Linked DNA regions of Callithrix jacchus. The protein of the gene in region 1 purifies or fractionates together with the protein of each later gene. This does not show direct contact. Links are inferred from orthologs where the notes say so. Each region holds a gene or a part of one and is shown in the gene's direction. Other genes may lie near its edges. The genes, in order: RBPJ, FHL1, NOTCH2, FBXO42, RITA1 and MAML1.

Region 1 (4,163 bases):
CCCTCTGTGAATATATAATCAAAAGAATGGCAAACACATACACACATCCCTAAAACCTTGAAAACAACTTAAAAACTTGAATTTCCTCCTATTTGAGAACTCACTGTCCTCCAAATATCAAAGTTCAATTCAACTCTACATTTTCGGGGCTGTGATGTCAGCAGGAAGACACCAGTTTCTAGATATTGCCAGGCTAAGGCTGGTAAAGAAACCACATCAGGGCCAATCTGAAACGTGTTTGGTTGAAGAATGTAATCAGGAACTCATTGGATGAATGATCCAAAAGGAAGGGATGCATTTAAAACAGTAGTCACTACAGCACCTGCCGCAGTAATTTGTAAAATGGGATATTTTAACAAAAATATGGAAAGGTGAAGGAAAGCAAAAAAAGCCATATTAGTGAGAGGAAAAAAGAGACCAGAAACTGATTTGTGGGATTACTTCAAAAGGCTAAGAAGAGACTGAGAAGAAATTTTAGAAGTCGTGTCCTTAAACAGGAGCAAGAATCTATACAGGGCAGCAATGTGAGCACCCACGCAGCTATTTTTTTTGTTTTGTTTTTTGGTCTACCCAGCTCACAGGGCCAGCGGGTAGATTAGAAAGAAAACAACCAATTGCTAAAGGAGAGTAGCTAAAGGAATCAGAACTTAAACAAGTAAGCGAAGTGGTGGCCAGACTAGGTGACTCAAGGCATGACTCAAACCCGACTCTGGGGGCTGTCTGTCGCTCCCGGAGGCTGGGGGCCCGGCGTCTAGCACGTTTTAGGAAAGTACCAGGCTTGTGGAGGGCGACAGGAAACCTCCCCGTGAGATTGGCCTGGGGCTCCTCCAGCCCTAGACCCTGACCTAGCGACTTCCAACCTCCTAGCTTCCCCTTCGAAGCTCCCCACCCCTCGTCTTCCACCCAGCGTCACAGGGCGTGTGCGTGTGTGTGCGAGACGTCCGATCTCCTCCTCCGCTGCCCTCCGCCCCGTGCTCCCAGCCACGCGCCCTCCCGCCCCGCCTCCGCGGCGAGCCGCTCCCTTCCCACCCCGCCCGCGCCCGCCGCCCGCCGCCCGCCGCCAGCCTCCCGCCTCCCGGGCACGCGCGGCACGAACGGCGCCTGGAGCTCTAGACAAACACCTGTCCTGCTTGGGCTCCGCGAGATTTGGGGCGAAAGCCTAGGCAACAGTGGGCGCGTTCTCGCGAGGTTTAGGAAATTTCCCACGGCCGTGTTGTGTCTGAACCGAGTAGTGGAAGGCGGTGGGAAGGTGTAGCGTGAGACTGGACTGCCTGCATTGGCGCACGCGCAATACCGCTCGCGCGGCCGCGCCAATCCTGCAGCGCCTTCAGCAGGTTTTGGGAGGCGAATTCCAGTTCTCCGGGTTTTGGGGCTCCCTGCGGGAGACAGTGCTGGATCTGGGAATCTCTAGGAAAGGAAAGGGGAAAGATGGGGGGCTGCAGGTAGGAGGAGGGGGCGGGGTCCGGCCCTGCATCTTGCTGTTCAGTGCCCGGCCGGGCCCGGTTCGCCCGGCGGCTTCCGGGATCAGGCAGCCAGAAGCGCGATTCGAGCAGCCGGTCCGCTGTGCCAGCCCCTCGGGAGGCCCGGCTCCCTGTGCAGTAGTGGCCCCCCACACACATGGGCTCACACACCGTGGCGGTTGCGTTGGGGTCCTAGGGAGGCCACGCAGCACGCGAGCGGCGGGAGCTTTGATCGGGGCCTCTGACCCTACTCGGAGGTGGGAGAATGTGGCTCTCAATTCTAAGGCAGTTTTCCCATCTGGAAAGAACTATTCCGCGGTCTGGTGTGTGTCTACGAGGTGGCTATTAGGCGTGTCTTTGCCAGAAGCCTTTGCCTGACCTCATTTCACACCCAAGGAGAACGCGAAGGCGAGAGAGCTCAACTGCATAAGTTTTCCGTTTGCGGAGCTCTGGAAGGGCCTCCTCATTAGCATGTGGGTGTAATGAAAGAAGACAGTTCCCGACGTGTCACTTGCCCGAACCCCAGGCACTTCTGACGCTCCGGCATCTAACGCCGAGATTAGCATAAAGGAGGCGCCCAGGGAACTTTTGAATGAATGAAAAGAGCTGGGAACCCAGAGTGAGCGGGAAGCCGCCTGGAAAACACCCATTTGAGGAGGTGTTTCATCTAGGCCTGTGAAACGCGGCCGATTTTCCCAGGACCCCTCCTCCTTTCCCCTCGGCCCCGCCTCCTGACCCCTCCATTCCCTGTCCCCGTAGTAATCCCCTCCGGTTTTCCTCAGTCTCCACGTACGTCCCTTAAGGCGCGTCCCAAAACCCGGATAACCGGAGCGCTCCGCATGGACCAAACGGAGGGCTCGCCCGCGGAGGAGCCGCCTGCGCATGCTCTATCGCTTGGGTAGGTTTCCAGGGAAGACAGCGAGCAGGATCCCCTACTCCGCGGGCGGCGCGAGGCATCTGGCTCTTCGCGGCGGCTGCGAGGGGAAAGGGAGCGCGGGGGCTGGGTGGATCGAGGAGTGAGGAAAAAGGGAAGGGGCGGGGGAGAGGGACCAGGGAAGGCGTCGGGGCGAATCTCGCGAGGGTTGGAGTTTTGGCGAGAGTTTGTGGAAGATGGCGCCTGTTGTGACAGGGTAAGTCTGAGGGAATCGGAGCGCTGGGAACCGGGAAAGTTGCGGGCGTCTGGCAGCCCGCGGCGGGCGGCAGGTTCGGGGGCCGGGGCGCGCTTGGCGTCCAGGGGCCCGCGGGGGCGGCGTCGCATGCGCCGAGCGCTGCGGCGGCGGCGTGTGGTCGTGCGCTGCCGCTCTGCGCTGCTGTGGCTCGGGCTCCGGCGCGTGAGGGCGGGCGGTGGCGGCGAGGCCGGCGGGTGCGGGCGTGAGTGCGGCCCGGCGCGCGGGGCCCGCGGGCGCTGTGCCTGCTCCACGCCTCCCACGGGCCCTGCCTGGGGGCCCCGTGCAGCTTTGTTCCTCGCGGCAGTCGTCGCCGCCTCGCCCCGCTGGTGCCCCCGGCCTCGGGCGCTTTGTCTTTCCCCGCTGCCCCCCGCGACTCTCTACCCCCGGCCCTTTGTTTCGCCGCCTTGGGCGCTTTGTCCGACCCGTGGCGCCCGGCATCCCATCTCCGTCTCCTTCCCTCCGCTGTCCTTCCTCCCATGCCCCTTTGTTGTGTTCCACTCTTTTCGGTAGCCCAGTGACCTACCACAGCCCGGGCACCAGATTCCTGCCTTAATGGTTCTTCCATTGTCTTTCTACTGTGGGTCCCCTCTCACCTTTCTCTCTGGTTCTGGATCACCCCCCGGGGCTTTGTCTCCCCCACGCACGGGCTTATTCTCTCCGCATCCCCTTCCCCTTCCGTCATCGGTTGATTTATCCACTACCTACGGTGTACGTACGTCTGCTGAACTGTCTCAGCCCCGGGGACTCCATCTGCTGCTGCTAAGTGCACACAGCCTCAACGGTTTGTTGTTGTTTTGTGGGTCTGAAAGATGCATGGGATACTTAGTTTCCTCCTCGTACCTCTTTCTCTCGGGATTTCTTGTGCCCCCCCGATACCTCCCCCCCACCCCTTTCTCTTGGGATTAAAGCGTCTCCGATTTTCATCGCCTTCTCTTTAGTGCCGTGGGTTGTTTTGCTTGGAAACAGTAGCTCTGCAAAAAGATCTGGTCTCTTGGTGGTTCTTGCGCCCCCCGGCCCCCGCCCCCTCCTGGTTCCTGACGGCCTAGGCCAAGGGCAGCTGTCTGTCGGAGTTTTGCATCTAGGTTACCTGAGGATGATTGGAGGGTATTGTAGGACGGTTAGAAGGAGGCTCAAGATGTATGTATGTATGTGTGTATATATATATGTATGTATGTATTTCTGTTAGTATTTGAGAATAGTTTCAGATATCCACAATGGGTATTCGTTTGACGTGTGAGTAGGAGTTGAGTGAATTTCCATGTTTAAAACTTGTGAGTGTTGGGGCGGAGAATTTCAGCATTTTCTAGAATCTAGATTTAGAGTTTATCAGTGACTCCTGCCTCATAAGGAACGGAGAGGCATCCTGCTTGGGAATTTTATGTAAATATTTTACTTTTTCTTAATCATTAGATAGTTTACAGTTAATGTGCTATTTGCTTTGTAGATTCGTGACAACCCTTCTGACCCACCATTGGGGTTGAAATAAGGACTGCACCGAAGAGTGCAATTTCTGGTTGATGAATACTGCTTCTAG
Region 2 (2,158 bases), on another chromosome or scaffold:
CCTGATTTAATGTCTAAGTGCACGCAGGGTATAGAGGTGGGGGCATGGGGGATTCAGGCATCGGATCCTAAAATAATAATTCTGGGGTCCCCGCCCATGACAGAAATCCCGGGTTGGCACAAGCACAATTAGAACACAGGTAGGTTAGTTGGAAGTGTGAGGCCAGTAACTGCAGGGCCTGCATCCCCTCACCTCTAGGGGTCTGGGGAGGAGGGCTGAGTGGATGCAGCACCCTGCAGAGCCTGTCAGTGGGGCCATCCAATTGCTTCCTCCTGCAGGAGATCAAAACGTGGAGTACAAGGGGACCGTCTGGCACAAAGACTGCTTCACCTGCAGTAACTGCAAGCAAGTCATCGGGACTGGAAGCTTCTTCCCTAAAGGGGAGGACTTCTACTGCGTGACTTGCCATGAGACCAAGTTTGCCAAGCATTGCGTGAAGTGCAACAAGGTATGCTTTCAAGGGAGTTCGGCATTGACCGCTGTTTCCAGAAGTGTTTGATGGTTTGCAGAGCACTTCCACACACACTATCCCATTCCATCCTCACGACAGTCCTGTGACGTAGGAATTATTATTCCCATTTTACAGATGAGGAGACCATGGATTAGAAAGCAGTGCCACAGCCAAGTCGGCTGTCGGTACGCATGCTCAGCTCCGTGGTGCGGGTGGCCCATACGGCCTGCCTCTACCACTTAGGGGCTGTGCAACCTCGCATAGGGGCTCGCCTTCTCCGAGCCTTGGTGTCTTCATCTGTGAACTGGGGATAATAATGGCCCCTGCCTCCCATGGCTGCTGTGGAGATTAAATGAGATATTGTATACCAAAGCGCCCAGCACGGTGCCTGGCACACAGTAGGCATTCAACAAAATGGTTGTTGAATCTGAATCCGGTGCTACACTCCCTGGTCTAGGCCATCACATCTGGAGGAATCACTTACCAGGATCAGCCCTGGCATGCCGATTGCTTTGTGTGTGTTACCTGCTCTAAGAAGCTGGCTGGGCAGCGTTTCACCGCTGTGGAGGACCAGTATTACTGCGTGGATTGCTACAAGAACTTTGTGGCCAAGAAGTGTGCTGGATGCAAGAACCCCATCACTGGTAGGCTAAAGAGTCCTTGCTAAGTCTGCCAGGCTAGGTTTTGCGCATGGTAACCATCTCTCATTTTCCTGTCGTCGGTTTCATCCACAAAGGCCCCCAGAGAATGCCCTTCTCCCCCTGCTATTGTCATCCCAAAGGTCCCCCAAGAGTTTGGATTCGTCCCCAGGCCAGGTTAGGCTTTGCAATACAGAACACTTCCTGACTACTGTTGACTAACAATGCCAAGCGTTCACAAGCCTGAGACCTGCCGGCCATCACCGGCAGGCAATGCTACGTTGCAGGGGGATTCTGGGGGGAGGGGCGGGAGGAGGGTAGAAAGAAGGGGGGTGGGGTAGGGTGGAGAAGGGTAGGGGAAGTGGGAGGGGAGGCCGAAGAGTGATAACTTGGGATTGTAACAACCCATAACTGAAGGCTAGTTCAGAGGTGACTGTTGGCAGGGTTTTTTTTTTTGGTTTTCTGTTCATTTGTTTTTGCGATCAGCAAAGCTAATCACTTCATTCCTCATCTCGCGGCCGCGATCCACGTGCCCTGGGCCCTTTCCCTTGCCTCCAATTTTCCCATCTCCCCGGGGAGCCTTGAAATGTACATTTGAGAAGACTTTTGCCATCCTCAGGGAAAAGGACTGTGTCAAGAGTGAGCCACCCAGTCTCTAAAGCTAGGAAGCCCCCAGTGTGCCACGGGAAACGCTTGCCTCTCACCCTGTTTCCCAGCGCCAACCTCCGGGGCAGGCATCCGGGTGGAGAGAGGACTTGTCCCTCGTGGGTGGTGGTTCTTTATAGAAAAAATCGAAGCTTAGCAGCTCCTCGAGGCCCGGTAAGTGCACACCCCACGAACAGCCCAAGTTTGCCTCCTGGTGGCCACTTTGATGCCATGGCCCTGACCTAAATCAAAGAAACTGGTTATGCTGGGAGGTCGGTGCGAGTCACAGGGCAATAGCGCGGTGGCATGGGAACGTGGGGTCTTTACATCAGGGAAGCCCTTGGCGGGGCTCCGGCTTCTTCTCAGGTCCTGGAGAGCCATAGCAGGGTTGCGGCGGCATGGGGGACAATGGCGGCGTGGGGGA
Region 3 (3,500 bases), on another chromosome or scaffold:
TTGACATTACATATAGTAGCTTGAATTACCGGGTAGTTCCCAACACCATGATCTTTCCACTCCTAAGACTCAGAGAAGCTTAGGACCCTGCTTAGATACTTAAAGGGAGCAGGTCCAAATTCAAATGTGTTTAACCAAAGATCAGTTGATGCAGCTATGAAATGAAAAGTTGCAGCGGTCACAAGTAACGCCCTGCCCAGGGAAGCCCTGGTCATGTTCCTGCTCTGTTCTCAAGCTTCTTTCTTTCATAACAGGACATGAAGATGACCTCACCCTGCCTCAGAATAGAGGTCTTATCGCAAGAACTTACTAGTTACTTCTGGAGAGGGCAGCATGGAGACTTTTGGAAACTAAAATAGTTGTTTATATCCAGATGTGGCAGGATACTCAGATTTGAAATTTATCATGCATTTCCTGGGGTCTGTAGTTGTATTTCTTTTAGGGAGGGTGTGATCAGGTTCCTTGGGAGTCAGAAAATAGGCTATAGTCGTCTGTTTACAAACAGTTCATCAAGCGGAACCTGCTGTATCCTGAGCCCATCTTCAGCCATCTTTCCTTCCAGCTTTAAAGATATGCTGCCTTACAGTCTTGGAATTTTATGAAGAATGAGAGGGATTCTGCAGCCTGGAAGTTCCCTACATACACTAACATCAAAAGAGAAATAATCCATTATGAACTTCATAACTATTGAGGCAATATGGGACAGAATAAGTATGAACAGTCTGTCCACAGCCTCGTATTGGCCAAACTGCACTTGGAAAGCCGAAGAAGCAAAACTGGCTCCTTTTTCTTTCATTGGCTCTGAGGCTTTTTTCTCTGGGAACACTGACAAACATTTACAAAGTCAGGGGGAAGCAGGAGAAGGAAGGAATGGAGACCGTTTTGAATTAGTATCCCATAGCCAGGAAGTCGTGCTAGTGCATTTTCCACATTTGTGAATGAAAAAGAAATCACTTGAACACATTGAGCCAGTTATTGTGGGAAGCTGTGGTAGAGATGAACAGCGAGAGACTGGTGGTCCACCAAGCTGTGTCCATGTGGTGGCTGCTTTTGGTTAGCGGCTGCTGCTGCGATTTAAAGAGACAAACATCTATACCTCTGGCTGCTTGATCTGGTGGGCCAAAAACATTACTATTTTTACTTCATTTTTAAAGCTACCTTTTCTTTCCTAAGTGACCGCAGGCCAGATGGGGCCTACCTTCTGCTGTTGGCCAGGAGTCCCAGCTGTGCGGTGCCCTCGTCTCCTCCATGGTTCCGGTTGCCTTATTCTTTATCTTGGAGCAGTGGCCCCCAGGGGCCTGCTGTTTTAGAACTATTCCTAGAGGAAGTTAACTTCAGGAAAATTAAGCTGCGTTTTAGGGAATACCAGTTAGGTTACAGAAAGGCCACAAAGTGATTGAAACGAGGTATATCGCAGATGAGAGTTCTCTGTACTGCAAATCACCATTTAAATATATGGGCCTGGTATTGGCCTGGTGTAGCCTCTCCTATGAAGTAGATGACATTAACAAAATGCGGCAAATGGTTTTTTAACTGTTTCCTGAAACGTATGAAATCTAGTGACTTCGAAAAGCTGAAGTGCAATTTCTTGTTTTTTTGAGGGCATTTAAGTCACTTTTCTCACCCATCCTGTTGTGTGAGTTGGTGCTTACTGTGTAGGCAAGACAGAGGAAGGAACTGGCCTGAGCCAGTGATGGGCCAGGCATGTGGAGACCCAGCGAGTGTTTCCTTCCTTTGCTCAGATTGCCACAGGCGTAGGACTGAACTCACACCCTTGCTCCACCTATGGGTGCTTCCTATCCCAGCAAAGTTTGGTCAGTAACTTGGAATGACTACTTCTGCCTTTTAAAACCCATTTTTATTTTCTGAGGCCGGCACTGTGAAACCTTCATCGATGTGTGTCCCCAGATGCCCTGCCTGAATGGAGGGACTTGTGCTGTGGCCAGCAACATGCCTGATGGTTTCATTTGCCGTTGTCCCCCGGTAAGTGCCCTGTTGCTCATAAGGGGCATTCTCTCTTCCATACAATATCTGTGACAAAACTGAGATCAAACCTGGTTTTATCAAGCTTTGAAATGAGATTTATCAATTGTAGATCTTTCAGAAGAAAATGCTTGGGTTTTTCCATTTAAAGCTGTTTATAAACAACAGAACAAAACAAAAAACAACCTAATTAAATAAAAAGAACTGTTTAGACACTTCCTGAAACAGTGAACTTCCCAGTCCGTGACTGTCAGGCTTAAGAAAAACTAAGGGGAAACCACACAAAGTGGTGGAATGCCCCCTTGATGATAGGGCTGATGTTTTTGACTTCTCGGCCCCATGCTGGCGGGGAGTCTCACTGCCCCGCTTGTGCCGGAGTTGGTGGAAACGTTGCTCTGCTGTTCTTTAGCGGGAACCATTTGGAAGCAAGTTGTCTCTTGAACCAGAGGGAAGCTTAATTTTAGCTCTTTGCTCTACCCAGCCTTTTATCATTGCCAGAGACTGAGACCTCCCCAAAACAAGAGATCCCTATGCCTGGGGAGGTGCTGAAATGAAACCTGTCTAGTAACCTTGGCTTGGGCTGAGCAGGAAGTACAGAAGGGAGTGAGATGTGGAGGTTTTCTAGAAACCCGAAACTTCCAATGTGACTGTTTCCCTACCAATGCCATCCTTATTTCCTCACTGATTTCCACAGGGATTTTCCGGGGCAAGATGCCAGAGCAGCTGTGGACAAGTGAAATGTAAGAAAGGGGAGCAGTGTGTGCACACCGCCTCTGGACCCCGCTGCTTCTGCCCCAACCCCCAGGACTGTGAGTCAGGCTGTGCCAGTAGCCCCTGCCAGCACGGGGGCAGCTGCCACCCTCAGCGCCAGCCTCCTTTTTACTCCTGCCAGTGCACCCCACCATTCTGGGGCAGCCTCTGTGAACTCTACACGGTGCCCCCCAGCACCCCTCCTGCCACCTGTCTGAGCCAGTATTGTGCTGACAAAGCTCGGGATGGCGTCTGCGATGAGGCCTGCAACAGCCATGCCTGCCAGTGGGATGGGGGTGACTGTTCTCTCACCATGGAGAACCCCTGGGCCAACTGCTCCTCCCCGCTTCCCTGCTGGGATTATATCAACAACCAGTGTGACGAGCTGTGCAACACGGCCGAGTGCCTGTTTGACAACTTTGAATGCCAGGGGAACAGCAAGACATGCAAGTAAGAGCTTCACGTTCTCCAGAAGCTGCAGGGGACTGTCACTAACACACTTGAGTTTCCGGTTCTTGCTCCTAACCACTCCAGTGCTTCAGCCTCAGCCGCCTCTGCTTTTCAGATGGTGCCAGCCTTGTCCCATCGCGCACTACCCTGTGCTCTCCCTTGCTGACAGAGGGCCAGGAATGCTCATTGCATAGTGACCCTCTCTCTCTGCCTATCTCTGCCTTCTCACCTGCTGCCTTCGTGACCTCCTGGGGGATATAACTTTTGGAAGTGGTGTTTCCCACTTCAGGCAGCCTCTCACATAACCTGCCTGCAGG
Region 4 (4,093 bases), on another chromosome or scaffold:
CCTCTTGTTTGTTTTTCTGAGACAGTCTTGCTCTGTCGCCTAGGCTGAAGTAGAGAGGCACATTCTTGCTCACTGCAACCTCCGCCTCCTGGGTTCAAGCGATTCACCTGCCTCAGCCTCCCGAGTAGCTGGGACTACAGGCGCGTACCACCATGCCCAGCTAATTTTTGTATTTTTAGTAGAGATGGGGTTTCACCTTTTTTTTTTGACCAGGATGGTCTTGATCTCTTGACCTCGTGATCTGCTAGCCTTGGCCTCCCAAAGTGCTGTGATTACAGGTGTCAGCCACCTCGCAACCGGCCTGCAATTGTTAATCAGTCTTAAGGTCTGTTGTGTTGATGTTAGTGCTGGAGGGTATAATGAGGCATGTCTGACCCCCACTTCCTGTCATGGCCTGAACCATGTTAAATTTAGACTGCCCTGGTCAATTTACCTCTCTGGCCTGGCCTAGGAGAAAGTCCATTCAGAATGCTTGGTGTGGTGGTAGTGGTGGTGGGGAGGGGCTTAGTTTTTTTTTTTTTTTTTTTTTTTTTGCTTACGGAGTTTAGACTGAAGCCCTTGACTCCATCTGGCATTTCCTTAGACCACATGCTGTATGTAGGGCTAAGCTCGTGAAGGTTCGTTCTCACCTACACACCAGGTTGCTCCCTTGGGAGGGGGCTTTGCTGGAATCTATCCCTTGGTGATAGCCAGTAGGATGTAAAGGAACTTGGGAATCCTACATGCCCGAGTTTAAATCCTATGTTTCCCGCGCCGCCCCACCTCCACTGCTAGGTGTGTGGCTCTGGACAAATAACTGATCGTTTTCCGTGCCTCAGTTTCCTCATCTGAAAAGTGGAGCTAGTAAAACACCTCACACAGTGGTTGCTACAAGGCTACTACGATTAAGGGAGGCTTCTCTTGCACACCTCAGGCGGAGTTTCCCTCCCCGTGGGGATGTCCAGGGGCACTTACATCCGCCACCTCTGTGCTCATCGGGCCCTCGGGGTAGAACTTAGTTAATTCCTGGCTAAAGGTTGGTCTCAAATCACAGGGAAAACCACCCAGGTGCTCCAGACATTTGCAGCGGAGGGTGGGTGCGGCTATGAGGTCGACGCTGGAGACGCGGCGAAGACGGGTGCGGAAGCTTCGCACCCCCGGAAGATTCCATCCTCCACAGAATCTTGGTCTGTAGCCACAGCCCTTCTCAATATGGCGCCGCCCCCTAGCCGCCCCGCGCCGGCCCGCCGCGTTGACGTGAGTGCGCGCGCGTGTGTCCTTCGTGCCCGCCCCTGCGCATGCGCGCTCTGCTCTGTCTTCTCTCGGCTAGAGCAGCAGCTGCGGCGGCGGGGTTTGAGTGGAGGAAGATGGCGGCTCTGGGTGGCTTGGGGTCCCGCCAGCTGTGAAGAGCCCGGAGCACGGCTATCGCGGCCTTAGGCACAGCGCCTCTGCTCTGGCCCTGTCCCTGGCTCCCTCATTACCGTCGCCACCGGAGCGAACCCGAGAGCTTGGAGCGGGCTGGGCCAGGTGAGGCCTCTCCTCCTCCCGGGGCCGCGATGGGGAGCTGGCGCCTCCTGCCCTTTATGCCCGGGGCTGGCAAGGGGCAGCGGGCGCCCCTGGTCTGGCGCAGGTCCCGCATCCCGCGCAGGGGTCGGTCTTGGTTGGGCAGGGCGCCTTGCTATCGCCGTCCTTGAGTGAGGAGGAGAGGAGGAGAGTTCCTTTCCAGCCAGCCCTTGGGTTGGGAGCGAACCCACCCTCTCTCCCCAGCAGGGTGATTCTCGTCCCCTCACCCGGGCAGTGAAGGGATGTGTGGCCCGAGCAAGGATGGCTTTAGGGTGTCAGATAATCTTTCATCGGGCCTCCGAACCTTTTACTTCTTTGCGAGAGAGGAGCCGGGAGTCGGGTGCCCATCAAAATTGGGGCTGCGGCTGGGGGCCAGCATCACTGAAGCTGCAGTTGCAGAGGGATAATTTGGAAATTGGTTTTCGTGAAATAAAATAAGCGGCCTTTCCTAGCCCCTAGCTTGTTGAGTGTTCCCCTAGAGAAATGGAAACTGCGGATCTCCTTGCTTGAGACAGCAATCCATGCTGTGACTGTGGAAGACTTCTCTTGGCGAGAATTGTGTGTGGTAAGGGAACGGTGGAGGGTGGGAACGAATTTGTAAGCGAAGAGAAAGCAATTGTGAGATCTTGATGGTCTCTGCAGGGTAACCTCAGCGCCAGTTGAATTCGTTTGAAACCTTCGGATTGTTAAGATTCAGAATAGCCAATTGCTTTGTCTGTTAAATCTCCCGACTTTTATTAGGAAAATAAAGGCTTCATTTCTTAATTGCCAGAGTCTTTGGATTTTTCTGTGGTGGGATTCTGATGGATCTAGATGAAGATCTGACGCTTTACCAGTTCTCACTTGCCGGCAGCAACATTGTAACTATGCTTGTTCCTTTTGGAGAACAACTTTTGTTGTTGTTTAAATGCTAATTGGGAGACTTTGTGTTTCTCATGTAGGGAAGTCGGTTTTGAAGCCTTGTGGCCTCTTCCTTGAGGAATGATGGCTTCATTGGACTGTGCTGTGGGGAATTGTTGAGGCAATTGCTTTTGCTTGGACACACCAAAATACCTTTTGTAACACATTGGCTTTACTTGTGCTTAAGAATGGTGACGTCATGGATTTAAAGAGAAGGAAAATTTGGAAAGTACCATCATTTACAATTGAACATTTAGAAATAAGTCTATAGCTCTTATGAACATTGGTGTTGCTGTGTTTAATTGCTAACTTTGAGTGTATTCATGTGTGTAATCTGATTGGGTGTCTTTTCTATTGTATGTTATTTTAACTATTTGCTTTTGACATGCCAATATAAATGCATTATTCAATCCACATTGATCCATGGGCATGCTGTATATCTTAAAAAGATTTTCCTTGGTGAAATGACAACTGTTTCGGTTATTATTTGACCATTTCTCTCTCTTTCTCCTTTTTTTTTTTTTTTGAGGCAGTCTCTCACTCTGTCACCCAGACTGGAGTGCAGTGGCATGATTTCGGCTCACTGCAACGTCCATCCCTTGGGTTTAAGCGATTCTCGTGCCTCAGCCTCTTGAGTAGCTGGGATTACAGGCGTGCACCACCACGCCCAGTTAATTAGTTTTTGTAATTTTAGCAGAGACGGGGTTTTACCATGTTGCCCAGGCTGATCTCAAACTCCTGGTCTCAAGCAATACCCCACCTTTGCCAGGCTTGAGCCACCGTGCCCAGCCTCCTTTTCTATTTTTAAATCAGACTTTTCCGTAGAAATTTGTCGATTTTCTTAGTGTCTTTGCTAAAGATGTAAATCTGAACTGTCAGCTTCTCTGTGGTAGAAAATTGGAGAGCTACTTTGCATATCAATTCACTAATAAAGAGTCATGAAATTAATGCAGTAAAACATCCTGGTGGCTCATCATTATGCTTCTTGGCATAATATGTTGCACTGTTATGCTAAATCATCATCACTTATTGATGCAACTGCGTGACATCCATGACATCATTTGCTCTCCAGATTTTGACTTTTGCAATTCCTTACCTTACTCAGTTACAAAAAGAACAGGATCAGAAAAAGGTAGCTTAGGATGCTTGTTCTTGTCTGGTTTCTAGAAGGGTCTTTAATAATTGCTTTATTAAGTTTAAACCCTTCAGATTCAGAACTGGATGAGTCCTACCTATTATCGAGAGCAAGCAAAGAAAATGCTAGCAAAACATGAATTTTATGAGAACACTGAGATCCCAAGGAGAAGCTATCTCAAAGATGAACAAACATGTAATTATCTTTGTGATTTCAGGATTGTTTTAGTCATCGAAGTAACTGTTTATAAAACCAGAAGCCATTTGATTAAATAAAGCCCTTCCCATGATTGTTAATGTGGGTCAAAAAAGACAGTGTTTGTGAAAGTGCTTTGTAAAATGTAAAATAAAAGGTAAATATAAAATTGATTATTCCTATTTATGAGCTACCGAATAAAGGCCCTCTGTTTGGCAGGTGTTTTGGGAAGTAGGTACTAATAACTGTAAGATAAGACAGATAAGACAGCTTTTGGTCTGAAGTTGCAGACAGTATGGCTTGGGAGGTAGACAAGGAAAG
Region 5 (3,957 bases), on another chromosome or scaffold:
TGCCGGGCGCGGTGGCTCACGCCTATAATCCCAGCACACTGGGAGGCCGAGGCGGGTGGATCACGAGGTCAAGAGATCAAGACCATCCTGGTCAACATGGTGAAACCCCGTCTCTACTAAAAATACAAAAATTAGCTAGGCATGGTGGCGTGCGCCTGTAGTCCCAGCTAGTCGGGAGGCTGAGGCAGGAGAATTGCTTGAACCCAGGAGGCGGAGGTTGCGGTGAGCCGAGATCGGGCCATTGCACTCCAGCCTGGGTGACGAGCGAAACTCCGACTCCAAAAAAAAAAAAAATTTTTTTTTAATTAGTTTCCCAGAGGTTTGGGGGGGTCACTGTCGCAAGCCACGCAGTCCGGCATCCCCTTAATTCAACCTCCCAAGAAAGCTCCAAACTCTCAAAGTCAGATCTTTTGCGCCCGCACTTTTCATTGGGCGAAAGGAAACCAGGATCCGCCCCTGAGCAGGAGACAGCCAATGAGGGACGCGCGACCGAAAGCCCGCAGGAAGGCCCGCAGGCTCCTGCAACGGGACCCCTAGCCTAACAAGCCCCGAGGCACGTCTTCAGGCCGGCGGTCCCAAGACCGGTCCTCGGACCGGCAGCCTCCCTCCCCACCCTCTGCGGAGCCCACTCCCCAGCTGGGGAAACAGGCTTCGGGGCGCTTCCCGGAGCCGGTTCTTGGGCCCCAACGTGCGTCCCAGCCCCATGTGTCTACCTTCCGGGCCCCGGTGTCATCTTCCGCCTGAATCTCAAATTTGCCGTCCTGCGAGTCGCTGCCGCGGGCCTTGGAGGCCGCGCCTCGGCGCTTCCGGAGCCCTTTCTTCTTCCTCCACTGGGCCATAGCAGACGGCGACCGAAGTCCGGCCGCGGGGCGCTTGCCCTCCGCCATTCGGGCCGCGCGCTGGGAACGCGGAAGGGGCGGGGCCTGCGGCGCGTACTAATTGCGAAGGTAGGGAAGGAGCGGTGGTCACGTCACCCCGGCTGCACTTTCGGTAGTGCCTGCGGCCCTGGGCAGCCTAGTACACACGCCCCTGAGTGAATGGCACCAGAGGCCCCTCTCCGTGTTTAGGAACTTCCTGGGCGTCAAGAACGTGACGCCCGTCCCTGGGCTGACTCCCCCCCCCCATCTCCGGGCGCGAATGGTCCGAGCCGCGCCCGCAGTGCTGCTGCCTGCTCCCTAGTTGCTGGGTTCTGGGTTTCTGGATGCGCGCGTCGCTCACACGTCGCCTGGGCCGGCTCCCTGGGTGAGTCGGTCTGCGCGCGGTACACCGGTACGGCCTGGGCTGCCGGGGGTCCGGGGCCCCGGGCATTCCTGGCCGAAGATTCACAGGGATTCCGGATGCACCCAACGCCTCTGTGCCCTCGTTGACTAGTCCAGACCTGGTGGGAAGAAGGCGCGGGGAGAGGTACCTGAGGACCCCAATGCCTATGAGCCAAGATGCTCAGGTAGGAGAACAGCTCAAAAATGCAGGGACCTCGGGCATTTTTTAACCGGTTCGTTGATTTGGGAGTCGCAGAATATGGGGAGGTGGGGGCGGCGGTGATCTCCCAATAGCAGTGTAGTGAAGTACACAATCTCTGGACTCAGATTTCACTTCCACCGTTTTAGCTTTATAGGTGTGACCTACCCATGTGACTTCACCTCAGTTTTGTGATCCGTAAAATGGACAAAATCGAAGCTACTTCACAGTGCTGTTGAAAGGATTAAATGAAACAATGCTTGTAAAGCTCTTTGCAGGAGGTAGGCATGGGATCCACGCTGGCTGTTATTGCCCCCATCCCCATAATACACACAGGATATAGGAAAGTGCCTGTCTCCCCTACCACCATAGTGTGTTTTCTGGTTGGTGCCTAAATGGGCACAGGTGTCACCTCTCCTTCACCCTGAGTCAGTCTATAAATAATTGCCAATAGCACCCCTTTCTCCATCATTATGACGACTTAAAAAAAAAAAAAAGTCAAAGGGCCAGGTGCGGTGGCTCACGCCTTGGGAAGCCAAGGTGGGTGAATCACGAGGTCTGGAGTTCAAGACCAGCCTGGCCAAGATGGTGAAACCCCATCTCTATTAAAAATAAAAATAAAAATTAACAGGACATGGTGGCGGGTGCCTGTAATCCCAGCTACTCAAGAGGCTGAGGCAGAGAATTGTTTGAACCAGGTGGTGGAGGTTGCAGTTGCAGTGAGCCGAGATTGCACCATTGCACTCCAGCCTGGGTCTGGGGTGACAGAGTGAGACTCCATCTCAAAAAAAGTAAAAAAAAAATAAAAAGCCAAAGAAATTCCTGACATACCCCCTGAAGTTGACAACTCCCCTTTGAGAGACTGGCTGAGAGGGAACTAAGCCCTTGGGATGAGAACTTCAGAGACTACCAATCTTCCTCCATTAGCACTCCGATCTCCTCTCACAGGGAGCCTCAGAAGCAGGACCTGCCCGGCAGATTACACCCGCTGTCACCAGGGACCACAGGCAGCATGAAGACCCCCATGGAGCTGGCCATCAGTGGGATGCAGACCCTCCACCTTCAGCACCACCGCCGGGCTGGCTACCGGGTCAAGGTCAGGCCGTCATATGTGGATGAGAGTCTGTTTGGCAGCCCAGCAGGCACCCGGTCCGCCCCACAAGACTTTGACCCTCCCTGGGTGGAGAAGGCTAACAGAACCAGAGGCGTGGGCAAGGAGACATCGAAGGTCTTGGGGGCAAAGGGGAGCTGTGAGACCACCCCCTCAAGGGACAGCACCCCGACCCCCACACCAAGGAAGAAGAACAGATACAGGTAATGGGGTGGGGAGATGCAAATCCTATACTCAGTGTAGCCACCTGGGTTCCAGTTATAGCCCTGGTGCTCTGTGATCTTGGGCAAGCATCTTTACCTCTCTGAGCCACAGTTTACTCATGTGGAAAATAGGACCAGTGATTCCTAATGGGGGATTGTTGATGGATTAAATGAGAGAGGGGTCTGCAGTGCTTTGCATAGTAACCTAACAGTTAGAAAGCTGTTAATAAATGGCAGTGTTGATGGTTGTGATGGTGGACTCCCTAACCCCAAGTGTCACAACTGGACATCTGAGGCCCAGAGGAGTCAGCTGATGCGTAAGATCACACAGAAATTTGCATAAGGTTATTAATATTAATGTGATTGATCCTTGAAATGGCATAGATGTGGTGTTTCTGAAGTCATTTTGAAAATGGGTCTTGCCAGGTGGGGTAGTTCATGCTGTAATCCCAGAACTTTTGGAGGTTAAGGTGGGATCACTTGAGCTCAGGAGTTCGAGACCAGCCTGGGCAACGTGGTAAAACCACGTCTCTATTAAAAAATACAAAAATTAGCCGAGCGTGGTGGTGTGCACCTGTATTTGCAGCTGCCAGGGAGGCTGAGGTGGATCACTTGAGCCCAGTAGGCGGAGGTTGCAGTGAGCCAAGATCACGCCACTGCACTCCAGCCAGAATGACAGCGAGACCCTGCCTCCAAAACAAAAATAAAAAATTAAAAATGGGTCTTGCTGCATTTTCTTGAACAAGTTAGAAAAATAGTAACTAATGCAAATTGTTATTGTTAATTAATTAGATTAGAATTAGATTATTTGGACTGTTTCAGATTAATATCAGCCTGAGGGAGGTATCTAGTGGTGAGCTACAGGGCTCTGTCCTGTTTATTGTTACCAGTGGTTTAGACAAAGATGATTAGCACGGTAGTTGGCTAGGGCTGCCGTGACAGTACCACAGACTGGGTGGCTTAAACAACACAGATTTGTTTTGTGACAGACTGGAGGCTGGAAGCCCAAATCAAGGTGTTGGCAGGTTTGGTTTTTCCTGAGGCCTCTCTCCTTGGCTTGCAGTTGCCCACGTTCTCACTGGCATCATAGGGCTTTCTCTCATTTTTTAATCCTTCAAGTACATGCAAGGGCCTTTTCTGTATGCACACACGTAGCCCTGGTGTCTCTTCCTCTCATAAGCACAC
Region 6 (3,968 bases), on another chromosome or scaffold:
TTCGAGACCAGCCTGACCAACATGGAGAAGAGAAACCTCATCTCTACTAAAAATACAAAATTAGCTAGGTGTGGTGGCGAATTCCTGTAGTCCCAGCTACTCGGGAGGCTGAAGCAGGAGAATCGCTTGAAGGCGGAGGTTGCAGTGGACCGAAATCATGCCATTGCACTCCGATCTGGGTGACAGCACCACTCCGTATCAAAAAAAAAAAAGTTTTGACTGAAGTATCATCCTTTCCATTTCCAGTTCCCTTTAATGCTTTTGTTCACATCTTCTGGACTTTTAAGTAGTGAGTAATACTGCCCTTTTTTGTTGTTGTTGGTCTCCCTCTCGCCCAGGCTACAGTGGCGCCATCTCGGCTCACTGCAACCTCCGCCTCCTGGGTTTTCAGGCGATTCTTCTGCCTCAGCCTCCCGAGTAGCTGGAATTATAAGCGCACGCCACCACGCCCGGCTAATTTTTTTTTTGTATTTTTAGTAGAGACGGGATTTCACCATTTTGGTCAGGCTGGTCTCGAACTCCTGATCTCGTGATCCTCCCGCCTCGGCCTTCCAAAGTGCTGGGATTATAGGCGTGAGCCACCGCGTCCGGCCAATACTGCACTTTTCAAACTTTATCGGGCTTTAATAAATAGGTGGAAACTACCAGTGATTCGGGATGGTGCAAGAGGAAACTACCAGTCCACTCGACGATTCTGACCAATTATGGGGCTGGCTATAAGGAATGAGGTCAAAGTAAAACGACTGACGTTAAAATAGCTACTTCGAGTTTATCAAAGCCAAAAATTTTTTTTTAATGATCTGTATACTGCCAGGCGGGCGACGGGGACTGGCCAGCTGCGCCTCACCCGCCTGCCCGATTCCTCTTTCCTCTGGGGAGCCGGAAGGGAACTTCAACCGGCAAAGTGCAGGAAACCAATAGCCGCCTCTTGGACGGGATCCTGTCAGTCATGTTTAGCTCCGTCCCTAGGACTGAGGCCCGCCCAGAGGACTCCCTCCGCCCTTCGCTTGAGAGTTCCTTTTAAATACCGCTCTGGCGCCCGAGCGCGCCTCTTGCGTGCTCGTCCCCACGCCCTTGGGCGGCCGGTTCATTCCTTCTCTGGTTGGTAGGGGCCCCTGCTCATCAGCCATGACGCACAAGGTCTCTTACCGAGGCCCCGCCTTCTTCCGAGAGCCCAGAAAACAATTTTAAGATGGCGGTGGCGGCGGCTGCACGGAAAACAATGGGGTCGGGGCGGTGGGGACAGGCCGAGGCTTGAAGTGGGCAGCAAGCGCCGGCTGGGGGTCGGGCCAAGCGGGGCAGGAGGAAAATCCGCCGCCGCGCGCGAGCTAGCTCCACTGCCCTCGGGGTCATGGCGCGGCCGTGAGGCGGACAGGGGTAACCGCGGGGAGCGAAGCCCGCAGTGCCAGCCTGCTGCCCCGGGCCCAGCCCGTGCAGCCCGCGGCCCATGGTGCTGCCCACCTGCCCCATGGCGGAGTTCGCGCTGCCGCGGCACAGCGCGGTCATGGAGCGCCTCCGCCGGCGCATCGAGCTGTGCCGGCGCCACCACAGCACCTGCGAGGCCCGATACGAAGCCGTGTCTCCCGAGCGCCTGGAGCTGGAGCGCCAGCACACCTTCGCCTTGCACCAGCGCTGCATCCAGGCCAAGGCCAAGCGCGCCGGCAAGCACCGGCAGCCGCCCGCCGCCCCTGCCCCGCCGCCCGCCGCCCCAGCCCCGGCGCCCGCCGCCGACGGCCCCGAGCACGGCCGCCCGGCCGCGGTGAGTAGGGCGCGGGAAGGCGCTTGTCGTGGCGGCAGTCCCCGCTCCCGAAAACGCTTCGTCTGACGCGGATCGGGCCCCTGGGAGACTTCCCCGCATCTCTTGGATCTGACTGGAGGGAGGGTAACATGGCAGGGAGCTGAGAGGTTGTCATCTTCGGGAAGTGGCACGGTGGCGTTACTTTGGGAAAACAGCACCGTGAGGGCCTTGTAGGAGGCCTGATCTGGGAAGGCGGCGAAGGCTACCGGGAGGGTTTTTCTTCCAGACTTGATTCCGCGATATTGAGATCTTTATTCGAAATAGACTAGCATTAGAGTTGTCTGTGATGGAGGGAGTTCCTGCACTGTAGGCCTGGCCTCATTTATTCTGCAATTTATTGGCTCCTTGCTCTTCACTAGATCCTGTGCTATAAGCAGGGTCAGAGCTTTCATATGGAAGTAAGTTGGCCTTCATTTGACCAACTCAGACTCCTTTGCAAAATCAAGAAATCTTTGGAAAACGTAGTAAAATGTTATTAGTTGCAAATAAGTATTTCTTGTTTAGCCTGAAATTTCTGAACTTGAGATTCCTGCAATATTGTTGAATTTTAGTTTTAATTTATGAGGCCTGTTTAAAATCTCTGATGATGTTAGATTGTTGGTAAATTATGCCCTTTGGGCTCTCAGTAAATTTTCCTGAAATTTGTTGGTTAGAGGTTTTTCTCCCTGAAACAGAGAGAGACAAAATGTTTCAGTGGTTTTCTTGGGGATTTTAGGTTAAAACAAATGTTAAAATCTACTTTGTTCTGTGTATTTAAAAGTTTATACCTTTATTATCTCTCACCTGGACTATTGCAGTGCTCCTCCCTAACTAACCAACCAGTCTTTAGGCATTTAGTTTCTTTTCCCTTCCTCTGGAAATGCTGGAAATCCTTCTGTTGCTTGAAGGAATGCATTCAGTGTCTTTGGTTTGGCTCTTGGGACCAGTCTGACCTAACCTATCTTTTAATGTCCCTCACAGATCATCTGCTCTGGTTGAATTATTTTTCTCATTATCTCCCACACTAGCCTGGATTCCTGGGCCAGAAAAAAAAACCACTCAGATTTCATTGCTAATTGTATCAACTGGTCAAGCCTTCTCATCTTCACTTTTCTCATTTGCAAACTAGGGGTATGTTGAGCTTACTATCTCCCAGCGTTCTCCCCTACCCCCACGCCCCGCTCCCTCATTGCCCAGGCTGGAGTGCAGAGACACTGTCATGTCTCACTGCAGGCTCAACCTCCCGGGCTCTAGACTCCTCAATTCTCCTGCCTCAGCCTCCTGAGTAGCTGGGTCCACAGTTGCATACCACCACATCTGGCTAAATAAAAAAAAATTTTTTTTCTGTTAAAGATGGGGGGTCTCTGAAGTCCCTCTGCGCCCAGCTGGAAGTAGTACTTGGGAATAGTTGGTGGTCATTACATATGAAGTAAATAATGAAAGCTCATAAAAATCATAGTTTTATACACAAATAGTTGCCTTGAACACTCCCTAGAAAGTATATTAGTGGGGGCTGGGCACAGTGGCTCACGCCTGTAATCCCAGCACTTTGGGAAGTAGAGGCCGGCGGATAACCTGAGGTCAGGAGTTGGAGACCAGCCTGGCCACCATGGTCAAACCCTGTCTCTACTAAAAATACAAAACTTAGCTGGGCATGTGGTGTGTGCCTGTGGTCCCAGCTACTTGGAAGGCTGAGGCAGGAGAGTCCCTTGAACCTGGGAGACGAAGGTTACAGTGAGCCAACATCACACCACTGCACTCCAGCCTAGGCAAGGGAGGGAGACTCTTGTCTCCAAAATATATATATATATATATATATATAGTAATGATTCAATTTTTGTTTAAAGTTATTCCAAGAGTTTAGACCCTATATGATTTTTTTAGTCCTGAATCAGTGAAGGAAACTGGGCGTGCTCTTTGAAGAGAAATTAAATCTCAGTGTGTTAGAACTTGAATCTAACTTACCAGTCATTCCTTTTGGTGTCAGAACATAATTAGATGTGCCATGTTAAGTTGATGTCTTTTTATCATGTTAAACCTTGACCCCATGGATTTCTTGAGTTTGAACTCTATGGTGGATGTGTTCTGTGTCTCTGCTAGGAAGAGGGATGCTTTCCACTTGGAGTCCAAGTGTTTCTAGCTGAGTTCTTTGGCCTTGGATTGGGGTCATAGGAACAGAAGATAAGTATCA

What was found.
Region 2: the proteins of RBPJ (region 1) and FHL1 purify together in Homo sapiens (affinity purification with western blotting; 4 studies listed by BioGRID and IntAct, with this or other methods). This does not show direct contact. The link is inferred for Callithrix jacchus from reciprocal best matches to the Homo sapiens genes RBPJ and FHL1.
Region 3: the proteins of RBPJ (region 1) and NOTCH2 purify together in Homo sapiens (affinity purification with mass spectrometry; 3 studies listed by BioGRID and IntAct, counting the BioPlex papers as one, with this or other methods). This does not show direct contact. The link is inferred for Callithrix jacchus from reciprocal best matches to the Homo sapiens genes RBPJ and NOTCH2.
Region 4: the proteins of RBPJ (region 1) and FBXO42 purify together in Homo sapiens (affinity purification with mass spectrometry; 3 studies listed by BioGRID and IntAct, counting the BioPlex papers as one, with this or other methods). This does not show direct contact. The link is inferred for Callithrix jacchus from reciprocal best matches to the Homo sapiens genes RBPJ and FBXO42.
Region 5: the proteins of RBPJ (region 1) and RITA1 purify together in Homo sapiens (affinity purification with mass spectrometry; 4 studies listed by BioGRID and IntAct, with this or other methods). This does not show direct contact. The link is inferred for Callithrix jacchus from reciprocal best matches to the Homo sapiens genes RBPJ and RITA1.
Region 6: the proteins of RBPJ (region 1) and MAML1 purify together in Homo sapiens (co-immunoprecipitation; 12 studies listed by BioGRID and IntAct, counting the BioPlex papers as one, with this or other methods). This does not show direct contact. The link is inferred for Callithrix jacchus from reciprocal best matches to the Homo sapiens genes RBPJ and MAML1.

What each region holds. Positions count from the first base shown.
Region 1 is NC_133504.1:167,517,436-167,521,598, reverse strand, and holds the start of RBPJ (recombining binding protein suppressor of hairless), read left to right. Parts: upstream 1-1,363; 5' UTR 1,364-1,442; exon of another isoform or gene 1,443-2,242; 5' UTR 2,243-2,299; coding exon 2,300-2,358; exon of another isoform or gene 2,359-2,570; coding exon of another isoform or gene 2,571-2,590; intron 2,591-3,093; exon of another isoform or gene 3,094-3,410; intron 3,411-4,163. UniProt on the Homo sapiens protein: Transcriptional regulator that plays a central role in Notch signaling, a signaling pathway involved in cell-cell communication that regulates a broad spectrum of cell-fate determinations.
Region 2 is NC_133524.1:133,003,894-133,006,051, forward strand, and holds part of FHL1 (four and a half LIM domains protein 1), read left to right. Parts: intron 1-278; coding exon 279-448; intron 449-908; coding exon 909-1,095; intron 1,096-1,708; coding exon 1,709-1,908; intron 1,909-2,158.
Region 3 is NC_133508.1:158,121,494-158,124,993, reverse strand, and holds part of NOTCH2 (neurogenic locus notch homolog protein 2), read left to right. Parts: intron 1-1,870; coding exon 1,871-1,983; intron 1,984-2,677; coding exon 2,678-3,183; intron 3,184-3,500. UniProt on the Homo sapiens protein: Functions as a receptor for membrane-bound ligands Jagged-1 (JAG1), Jagged-2 (JAG2) and Delta-1 (DLL1) to regulate cell-fate determination.
Region 4 is NC_133508.1:53,659,346-53,663,438, reverse strand, and holds the start of FBXO42 (F-box only protein 42), read left to right. Parts: upstream 1-1,293; 5' UTR 1,294-1,506; intron 1,507-4,093. UniProt on the Homo sapiens protein: Substrate-recognition component of some SCF (SKP1-CUL1-F-box protein)-type E3 ubiquitin ligase complex. Specifically recognizes p53/TP53, promoting its ubiquitination and degradation.
Region 5 is NC_133510.1:116,159,366-116,163,322, forward strand, and holds the start of RITA1 (RBPJ-interacting and tubulin-associated protein 1), read left to right. Parts: upstream 1-1,157; 5' UTR 1,158-1,436; coding exon 1,437-1,444; intron 1,445-1,607; exon of another isoform or gene 1,608-1,739; intron 1,740-2,385; exon of another isoform or gene 2,386-2,406; coding exon 2,407-2,772; intron 2,773-3,957. Other genes in the region: ATP-dependent RNA helicase DDX54, read right to left, coding at 714-887. UniProt on the Homo sapiens protein: Tubulin-binding protein that acts as a negative regulator of Notch signaling pathway.
Region 6 is NC_133503.1:71,917,486-71,921,453, reverse strand, and holds the start of MAML1 (mastermind-like protein 1), read left to right. Parts: upstream 1-1,168; 5' UTR 1,169-1,447; coding exon 1,448-1,759; intron 1,760-3,968. UniProt on the Homo sapiens protein: Acts as a transcriptional coactivator for NOTCH proteins. Has been shown to amplify NOTCH-induced transcription of HES1. Enhances phosphorylation and proteolytic turnover of the NOTCH intracellular domain in the nucleus through interaction with CDK8.